Linked DNA regions of Macaca mulatta. Each later gene encodes a partner of the first gene's protein in a complex. Links are inferred from orthologs where the notes say so. Each region holds a gene or a part of one and is shown on either strand. Other genes may lie near its edges.

What was found. The genes of interacting proteins can lie anywhere in the genome.
Region 2: TOX4 (region 1) and WDR82 share a complex: the UniProt entries of both Homo sapiens proteins name them as parts of the PNUTS-PP1 phosphatase complex. The link is inferred for Macaca mulatta from reciprocal best matches to the Homo sapiens genes TOX4 and WDR82.

Annotation. Positions count from the first base shown.
Region 1 is NC_133412.1:94,338,047-94,342,141, reverse strand, and holds the start of TOX4 (TOX high mobility group box family member 4), read right to left. Parts: upstream 2,803-4,095; 5' UTR 2,764-2,802; coding exon 2,758-2,763; intron 2,547-2,757; coding exon 2,478-2,546; intron 1-2,477. Other genes in the region: RAB2B (ras-related protein Rab-2B), read left to right, coding at 3,162-3,207, 3,437-3,508. UniProt on the Homo sapiens protein: Transcription factor that modulates cell fate reprogramming from the somatic state to the pluripotent and neuronal fate. In liver, controls the expression of hormone-regulated gluconeogenic genes such as G6PC1 and PCK1.
Region 2 is NC_133407.1:115,807,049-115,811,344, reverse strand, and holds the start of WDR82 (WD repeat-containing protein 82), read left to right. Parts: upstream 1-1,496; 5' UTR 1,497-1,526; coding exon of another isoform or gene 1,527-1,764; coding exon 1,765-1,925; intron 1,926-4,296. Other genes in the region: uncharacterized protein LOC106996905, read right to left, coding at 1,147-1,461, 1,527-1,766. UniProt on the Homo sapiens protein: Regulatory component of the SET1/COMPASS complex implicated in the tethering of this complex to transcriptional start sites of active genes.

The DNA.
Region 1 (4,095 bases):
CCAAGCTGGAGTACAATGGTGCGATCCTGGCTCACTGCAAACTCTGCTTCCCGGGTTCAAGTGATTCTCCTGCCTCAGTCCCCTGAGTAGCTGGGATTACAGGTGCGCACCACCACGCCTGGCTGATTTTTGTATTTTTGGTAGAGATGGGGTTTCACATGTTGGTCAGGCTGGTCTTGAACTCCTGACCTCGTGATCCGCCCACCTTGGCCTCCCAAAGTGCTGGGATTACAGGCATGAGCCACCACGCCCGGCCTCAGCTGTTTTTTTTAAATTAATTATTACTATTTTTTATAGAGACGGAGTTTGATCACGTTGCCCAACCTGGTCTAGAACTCTTGGGCTCAAGCAATTCTCCCACCTCAGCCTCCCAAACAGTTCGGATTAGTGGCATGAGCCACTGTGCTGGGTCCAGATTTAGGTTTTATATCATTTCTAAGTTTGCCACATACTAGATTCACACTTACCCTGCTTATAAGACTAATAAAGCAACAAAAAAGTTAAACTGGCGCCGGGCATGGTGGCTTATGCCTATAATCCTAGCACTTTGGGAGGCTGAGGTGGACAGATCACTTGAGGCCAGGAGTTCAAGACCAGCCTGGGCAACATGATGAAACCCTGTCTCTACTAAAATACAAAAAGAAAAAGAAAAAAGAAAAAAAATTAGCTGGGTGTGGTGGCGCACACCTGTACTCCCAGCTACTTGGGAGGCTGAGGCAGAAGAATCACTTCAGCCCAGGAGGTGGAGGCTGCAGTGAGCCAAGATCGTGCCACGGCACTGCAGCCTGGGCTACAGGGAGACTGTCACCTCCCCCCGACAAAAAAAGAAAAAAAAGTTAAACTAGCAACTACCCCTTGTCAACCCCATTTTCATCCATGAAAACGTTAGGATTATAGGATAAGCGCATGCGACAGCCACTGACAATTCTTGGTACAAAAAACTGATGCAAATGGTCCACACCACTTTTGAAAATAAATTTAAAAGTCCTCAAAAAATGGCACGTGGTTCAAGACTTCAGTTTCTCAAAGACAGAAATTTTTGTCTGTTCCACCGTTCTCTTTTGCTTCTCCTAAACAAGTGATACGTATCTATATTATGACAATATTTCAACCAGAATTTTTTTTTTTTTTTTTTTTTTTGAGACAAAGTTTCCCTCTTTTTGCCCAGGCTGGAGTGCAATGGCGCGATCTCGGCTCACCACAACCTCCGCCTCCCGGGATCAAGCGATTCTCCTGCCTCAGCCTCCCGAGTAGCTGGGATTACAGGCATGCGCCACCACCCCGGCTAATTTTGTATTTTTAGTAGAGACGCGGTTTCTCCATGTTGGTCAGGCTGGTCTTGAACTCCCGACCTCAGGTGATCCACCTGCCTCGGCCTCCCAAAGTGCTGGGATTACAGGCATGAGCCACCGCGCCCGGCTCAACCAGATTTTTTTAACAAATACTTTAGGGTTTCATCACAACCTTTACTTCTACTATAAAACAGCATAAGAAGCTATTATTACAGCTGTTTGACAGTTGGGGAAACTATGACATACAACGATGAAGTAATGTGCCCAACGTCTGAGTCACAGAAAAACTGAAACACATATCCTACTCAACTCTTTTTATGTTCTCTAGCAGCTATTTCCTTTCTTCCTGGCATTAGCAAAACAAGCCGACACTGTGTAGGTAAAGGTAACCACAAACTTTTTATTAAAGTAGTAAATTTAGGCCAGGCGCAGTGGCTCAGGCCTGTAATTCCAGCACTTTGGGAGGCCGACGTGGGTGGATCACCTGAGGTCAGGAGTTTGAGACCAGCCTGGCCAATATGGTGAAACTATATCTCTACTAAAGATACAAAATTAGCCGGGCATGGTGGCACACGCCTGTAATCCCAGCTACTCGGGAGGCTGAGGCAGAAGAATCGCTTGAACCCGGGAGGCGGAGGTTGCAGTGAGCCGACATCGCACCACTGCACTCCAGCCTGGGCGACAAAGCGAGACTCTGTCTCAAAACAAAACAAAACCAGTAGGAAATATAAATGAAACAAATTTAAAAAGACCCCTTCAACAGAGTTCGTTACAGGAATGAACACATGCTGTTCCACGGTCAACCCTCTGCTAGGTAAGCTCCTCCCCTCACCCCAGTTTCTTCAGCTGCTGAAAAATTTTCTTCCCACTGCGATCCTTTAAGATTACTGTAGTTATTTCTCCCCAGAAAAAGGAGACAATTTCACTGTCTTCTAATCCAGAATCACTTTTCTCTTTAAATAGGTTATCTCTTTCCAATAGCTTGCTTTTCTGATGACAGCAACTTCCCAAGACTTCCCCAGATAGTCCCCATAGGCTCTAGAAGCAGCTGCCACTTTTCTCTAAACACCAATTGCAGCCCTTGGTTCCCAGCCCCCGTCCCTGGAGTGCGTGCTCTCCTCCCCACCACCCTACCCCACCGCGGCCTCAGGCCCTCCCCCCGCGGCGTCGGCAGCTCGTGCTCACCTCGGCCCCTGACAGGAAGGGGTGCGAAGGCCCTGTGATAGTCAGGTAATTGTCATTTCCTCCGGGAAACTGGAAACCAAAAGAAAGCCGCGGGGATAAGTTAGGGGGAGCAGGGAATTAGCTTGGAGCGATGGCTTCTGACCCCGACATTCTGACAACACTCCCCAAACCCCGCGCTCTCTCCTCTCCCGTCAGTCGCCTCTCCACCCGGCTTCCCGTCTCTGCTTCAACCCGGTCGGCCGCGTTCTCTCGCCAGCCTTCTTAGCTATCAGGTTCCTACCTCCATCTTCACACAACCGCTCCCACCGTCTCAGACCCTCATCGCTCCCACCGCCCCCACTGGTCTCGGAACTGCCGTCACTTCCGCAAGGACGTGCGTTACTCTCTGCTCATTGGAAGGAGCGCCGTGGGGGCTGCAGCGAGTCAGGCGGTGGCCTATCGCCCCCTGGAGCTTGGAGGGATAATGGCATGTAGAAGTACTAGAGGTATCCCTGGAGGTGGCGTTGGGTACTCCCGACCTAAGGAGGATTTCTGGGGAGAGCAATAGAGACGTGATCTGGGCTAGAGGAGCCGGAGAGGGTGGGCGGCCGGGAAGAAGAAGATCGGTAGATTGAGTGGCTAGAGAGGTTGGAGGTAAGTGGCTGTAGAAGTCGGGCGGACCCGGAACCCAGAGGACGCGACATCATGACTTATGCTTATCTCTTCAAGTATATCATCATCGGAGACACAGGTAACCCTCAGGTTGTTCGCCTTCAAGGCTGGGGCGGACGTCCGAAGCTCCCAAATTGGGTGGCGGGGGCGGGGCTCACTTTGTGGGCTGGGCGATTCGAGACGGGCGGGGCGGTTCGGGGCGGCCAGGGGCGGGGCTCGGGGACCCCCCGCTTCTCTGGTCCGGGAAGTCCAGAGTCCGGGTAGTGTTCCAACGCTACGTGACTCTGGGAGCGTGTTTTCTCTTTCAGGTGTGGGGAAGTCATGTCTCCTCCTGCAGTTTACAGATAAGCGGTTCCAGCCTGTCCACGACCTCACAATAGGTAAGTGCATCTACTTGTTCCAGAACAGATAAAACCTGACTAGCTAAATTGCTAAAGTGGAAAGTTAGCAGCCTTCAGTGTTCAAAGTAAAAAGTTATCCCTCACTACTTTAAACTAGTCCAAAGTTATGTTAATGAAGTGGTTAATCAAACGTTGATATGTGGCGAGTAGTGTAAGGGAGAGTATATAATTGAAAGGTAACTTTTTGGAGTGTGAGGTAGAGACTTGTCATATAATTTTTTTCAAGTACAATTTTTTATGTTTATGGAAAATCCCACGAAAGCATAACTGCTTATTTGTAAACTCATCTGTGCTTTGCAGTAAATTAATACCAGCCTTACTTTTAAAAAGTAAACACCAATACATGGACATTTTTTATATTGGTGAAGAAGCAAATTGAAGAGTCATCCCTGCCTTAGAATTAATAGGCAAATAAAACTAAAAACTTTCCTTTTAAATAAAACAGTGTGTTAAACAGTTCCTCATACCCACTGGGGATCCTGGAAAATATTAACATTTCCCACACATTTGTGATAAGGCATAGCCTGAAGGGGCTTTTAGCTACCCCCTCTTCATTATCTCCATAA
Region 2 (4,296 bases), on another chromosome or scaffold:
CCCAGGGGGTTGGGATACAGCCTCTAAGTTCTTTCTAGAAAGACCCCAGCTGTCCCAGGGTTTCCATTTTTTTACCATTGCACAGGTCTCTGGATATCACACCTTCCTAATAGCGACTGAAATGTCTCATAGCCTTTCCTTGTTTTTGTTTCTCTTTAGCTAAAGAAAGCAAAAATAAATAATCCCCATCTCCACTGTTGGAAACCCCAGGCTTTTTAACCTTTGGAGGAGCTTCACACAAGATAGAGATCTGTGAAGCTACATAGGTTGGCACTGAGTTTAACCCTTTGCCCATAAAGTTAAGGTTAGGAAGCTTGGTTCCTATTTTCTGTTCAAATACTGTTTTCCTTTGTTAGAGATAAACTTCTTTTAAGGCAAAGAATCACTTATATGATAGAACCTTTAGAATAATCCTGTTGACTACAAACAGGATAGTGCAACTCTTCCATATTTTGAATGTGGTGGTGATTGCATGACTGTGTTATGGGTGTTAGAACACTAGCCACTAAAAAGGCTAATTTTTGGAGGGAGACCGTCTGTTCTGTCGCCCAGGCTGGAATGCAGTGGCACGATTTCGGCTCACTGCAGCCTCTCCCTTTCTCAATTCTCGTGCCTCAGCCGCGCCATCATGCCCGGCTAATTTTTTGTATTTTAGAAGAGATGGGGTTTTGTCATGTTGGCCAGGCTGGTCTCAAACTCCTGAGCTCAAGCGATCATCCTGCCTCGGCCTCCCAAAGAGGTGGGTTGGAAAGGCGTGAGCCACCGCGCCCGGCCCAAGGCGGCTGATTTTTACTGTACCTAAAGTCTACCTCGATTAAGAACACCAGGCCGGGTGCGGGTGGCGGGCGGACTGCCTGAGGTCAGGAGTTCGAGACCAGCCTGGCCAACATGGTGAAACCCCGTCTCTTCTAAAAATACAAAATTAGCAGGCGTGGTGGCGCGCGCCTGTAATCCCAGTTGCACGGGAGGCTGAGGCAGGAGAATCCCTTGAACCCGGGAGGCGGAGGTTGTGGTGAGCCGAGATAGCGCAACTGAGCGACAAAGCGAGAGACTCCATCTCAAAAAAAAAAAAAAAAAAAGAGGTCGAAGCTGTCTAAGCGGGCGCTGCGGTGGACTAGCGGTCAAGCCTGCCCGCGAGCGGCTCACCTGATTCGCCCCCAAAACCGGCCTCCAGCGGCGTACTCGACCCTGCAGTACCCCCTCCCACGCGGCTTGTGGTCGGGAAGCCTGCAGGAGGCGCCAGAGCCTTCGCAGGGGTTGCAGTCTAGCGCAAGGGCCCTCAGCTCCCAAGGCACCCGCAACCTTCCGACCCCCGGAGAAGGCCCCGCGCGTCTGAGCCCCTCCCTGCCAGCGGCCAGCCCTGCCACTACACTCAGCCGCGGCCGCGCTGACGTCACCACCCCCACTCCCGGCCTCGCGAGGCCGTTCCCGCCCCGCCCCCTTTCCCGGCGTGCGCCGCGGCTAAGGCTCCTCGCCCTCAGCTTCTGCCTGTCGCCCCAAAATGGCGGACACAATGAGCCGGCTACGCGCCGGTTGTCCGTGAGGTGGCTGTGAAGACGAACAGACGGCGAGGCTCCGCAGTTCAGGCAGAAGACCCTCGTCCAAGCAGGAGGAAGAGGAGGAGGCGGCCCAACTGTTGGCCGACTTCCCTCTAGCCGCCGGCGCGGCGCCCGCCCCGCCTGGGTTGGCCCCTCGGCAGCCCGCCCGTTCGCCGCCGGGCCCCGCCCCGGTCCTGCGCCGCCGCTGCCTTCCTCAGCCGCCGCCATGAAGCTGACCGATAGCGTGCTGCGGAGCTTCCGCGTCGCTAAGGTGTTCCGCGAAAACTCGGACAAGATTAACTGCTTCGATTTCAGCCCCAACGGCGAGACGGTCATCTCGAGTAGCGACGACGACTCCATCGTGCTCTATGACTGCCAGGAGGGCAAGTGAGTGCGGCGGAGGCCCTGGGCCCAAGTCTCAGTGCCTCCCTCCCTCCGGTGGCCCAGCACTGGTCCCTCGGCCCGCCCTCCGTCCCAACTTCAGCCCCCGGCCTATTTTGCACGCGTTCCTGCCAGGGCCGCCTCCACCCCGCAGCAGTCCAGGAGACCTTTTATTTTTTCTTATTAAAAAAAATTACGATAGTCATAATTTTATAATAGCATTCTTATTTGTATGTTTTCGGTCTCCTTTGAGCGCTATGCATCGCTTGCCAAACCCCACCTTGACCTTGACCTTTAAACGCCCGGTCCGCCCACCGTGGGCCCAGCAGGTAGCGTTTTCAGCTTCTCAGGCTGTCAGAGGTGCTGGTCTGCTCCGGCCTCGACGCAGGACTGCAGGGGCTGCTCTCCTGCCTCCTTCGGCAGCGTCAGCTCGCTCTTCTGCCCTCTCCGCTGTGACCTCGATTCTGCCCTGGCACTCCGCCCATCCCCTGCCCCTCAGCTTCCCGCGGCCTTTCTGCCGTCAGACAGCGTGGGTTGCAGTTCTTAGCTGTCAGGATTTATTTGTTGTGCCTCTTTGAGCCCCCTTGCTTTTTCTTCGTGCTCGTAGCCTTTCTCTTATTCTTTCAAACTCGGTGCCCACGTTCATAAGTGAACTTTTCAGCAACATCTAAAACTTCTTTTTGCCACACACAAACGAACTTGGTCTTCCCATCCTGACCTGAATGTGAGCTTCCGTTAAAACAAAGCAAGCATCGTAGAACAATTTCAGGTTTCCTTTCATACTTTTTTTTTCTATTACACTTTTTGGTCCACTTTGAATTCCAGTTCTGATCATGAAACTTTTATGTTGCCACAAGTCATCTGGAGACCCACCATACCTGCATCTTTTCGCAAAATCTAAGCACAGCACTTTGACTTTTCCCCTGGGGGTCCTTGTCAGCCCCCTCACCGCACGCCTGTGGACTTGCAGCTCCTTGGAGCCAAAACTAGTTTAGATTAAATTTGTTTTACCCTTGCCACCTTCCCCAAGAAGGCTTGCTGATGTTTGGTTTAATTCGGTGACCTCTGGTTTTGTCAGACTTGATTTTGTTACCTAGTAACAGATACTATTATTATTATTGTGAGGTCTTGGGTTTTTTCCTACCTTCTCCAGCTGTTCCTTTTGCCTTTTTTTTTTTTTTTTTTTTTAAACTGGTGTCTTTCTTTTGGAACGTATCTCTTCATTTGTGAATTTGATTATCTGAAATAATGCTAGTTTGGACTGAGCTATAATGGTATCCCCCCTAATTTTTTTCCCACTGGGACTGTGAGAAATTATTACGTAACCGGCTCTGGATCTGCCTGCAGTATGTGGCAGAGTGGTCTGCAGTGGTGGTCTTAAGGAAGAGGGAATTGTTAGCTGAACAAATACTTAGTTATTTGAGTCAGTGTTACTCCTTGAGTAGATAGATTTCTGTCCTGGTCTGGTCACTTGAATCAGTTTAGAAGAGGAAGTAACACTTAAAGGTGTGGTAGTAGGGTCGGCATTGTGGGGTCCTGGAGGAGTAATTTGAAGCTGGCTTGCATGAAATGTTTAGTGCTTTTGCACAGATTAGAACCTCTTCCCAGAACCTCAGGATGGAGATATATATCCTCATTTAAAGAAAATGAAGGTTGTGATAGCCTTTCTTTGCAGTTTGTCCCCAAATTTGGCATAATTTTGATTTGGGAAGGATGACCTTGACGTGAAGTCCTGTCTTTTTTTTTTTTCCTTGTGTTTTTGGGACAGAGTCTCCCTCTGTTGCCCAGGCTGGAGTGCAATGGCATGATCTTGGATCACTGCAACCTCTGCCTCCCGGGTTAAAGCGATTCTCCTGCCTCAGCTTCACAAGTAGCTGGGATTACAGGCGCCTGCCACCATGCCCTGCTAATTTTTGTATTTTTAGTAGAGACGGGTTTCACCATGTTGACCAGGCAGGTCTTGAACTCCTGACCTCAAGTGATCCACCCGCCTCGGCCTCCCAGAGTGCTAGGATTACAGGCATGACGTGCTGCGCCTGGCCAAATCCTGTCTTGTTAAAAGTAAAATGCTAGTTTTGTGACATAAGGCAGTTTATTCACTCACATAGCATTTTTTACATAACTGCAAATGAACAGAAAGTTACAACAATGTTTCAGATAACTCCCATATGATTCAGTAACTGGTTACATTTTCTGCATTTGCTTCACTGTAGGTAAATATTTATATGTACTGTGTGCCTCCCCCCACCCTTAGAGTTGGAGGTATCAAGCCCTTTTATCTCTAAACACTTCAACATGGACTTTCTTTCATCTTTCTTTTTCTTTCCTTTTTTTTTTTTTTTTTTTTTTTTTTGAGATAGAGTCTCGCTTGGCCGCC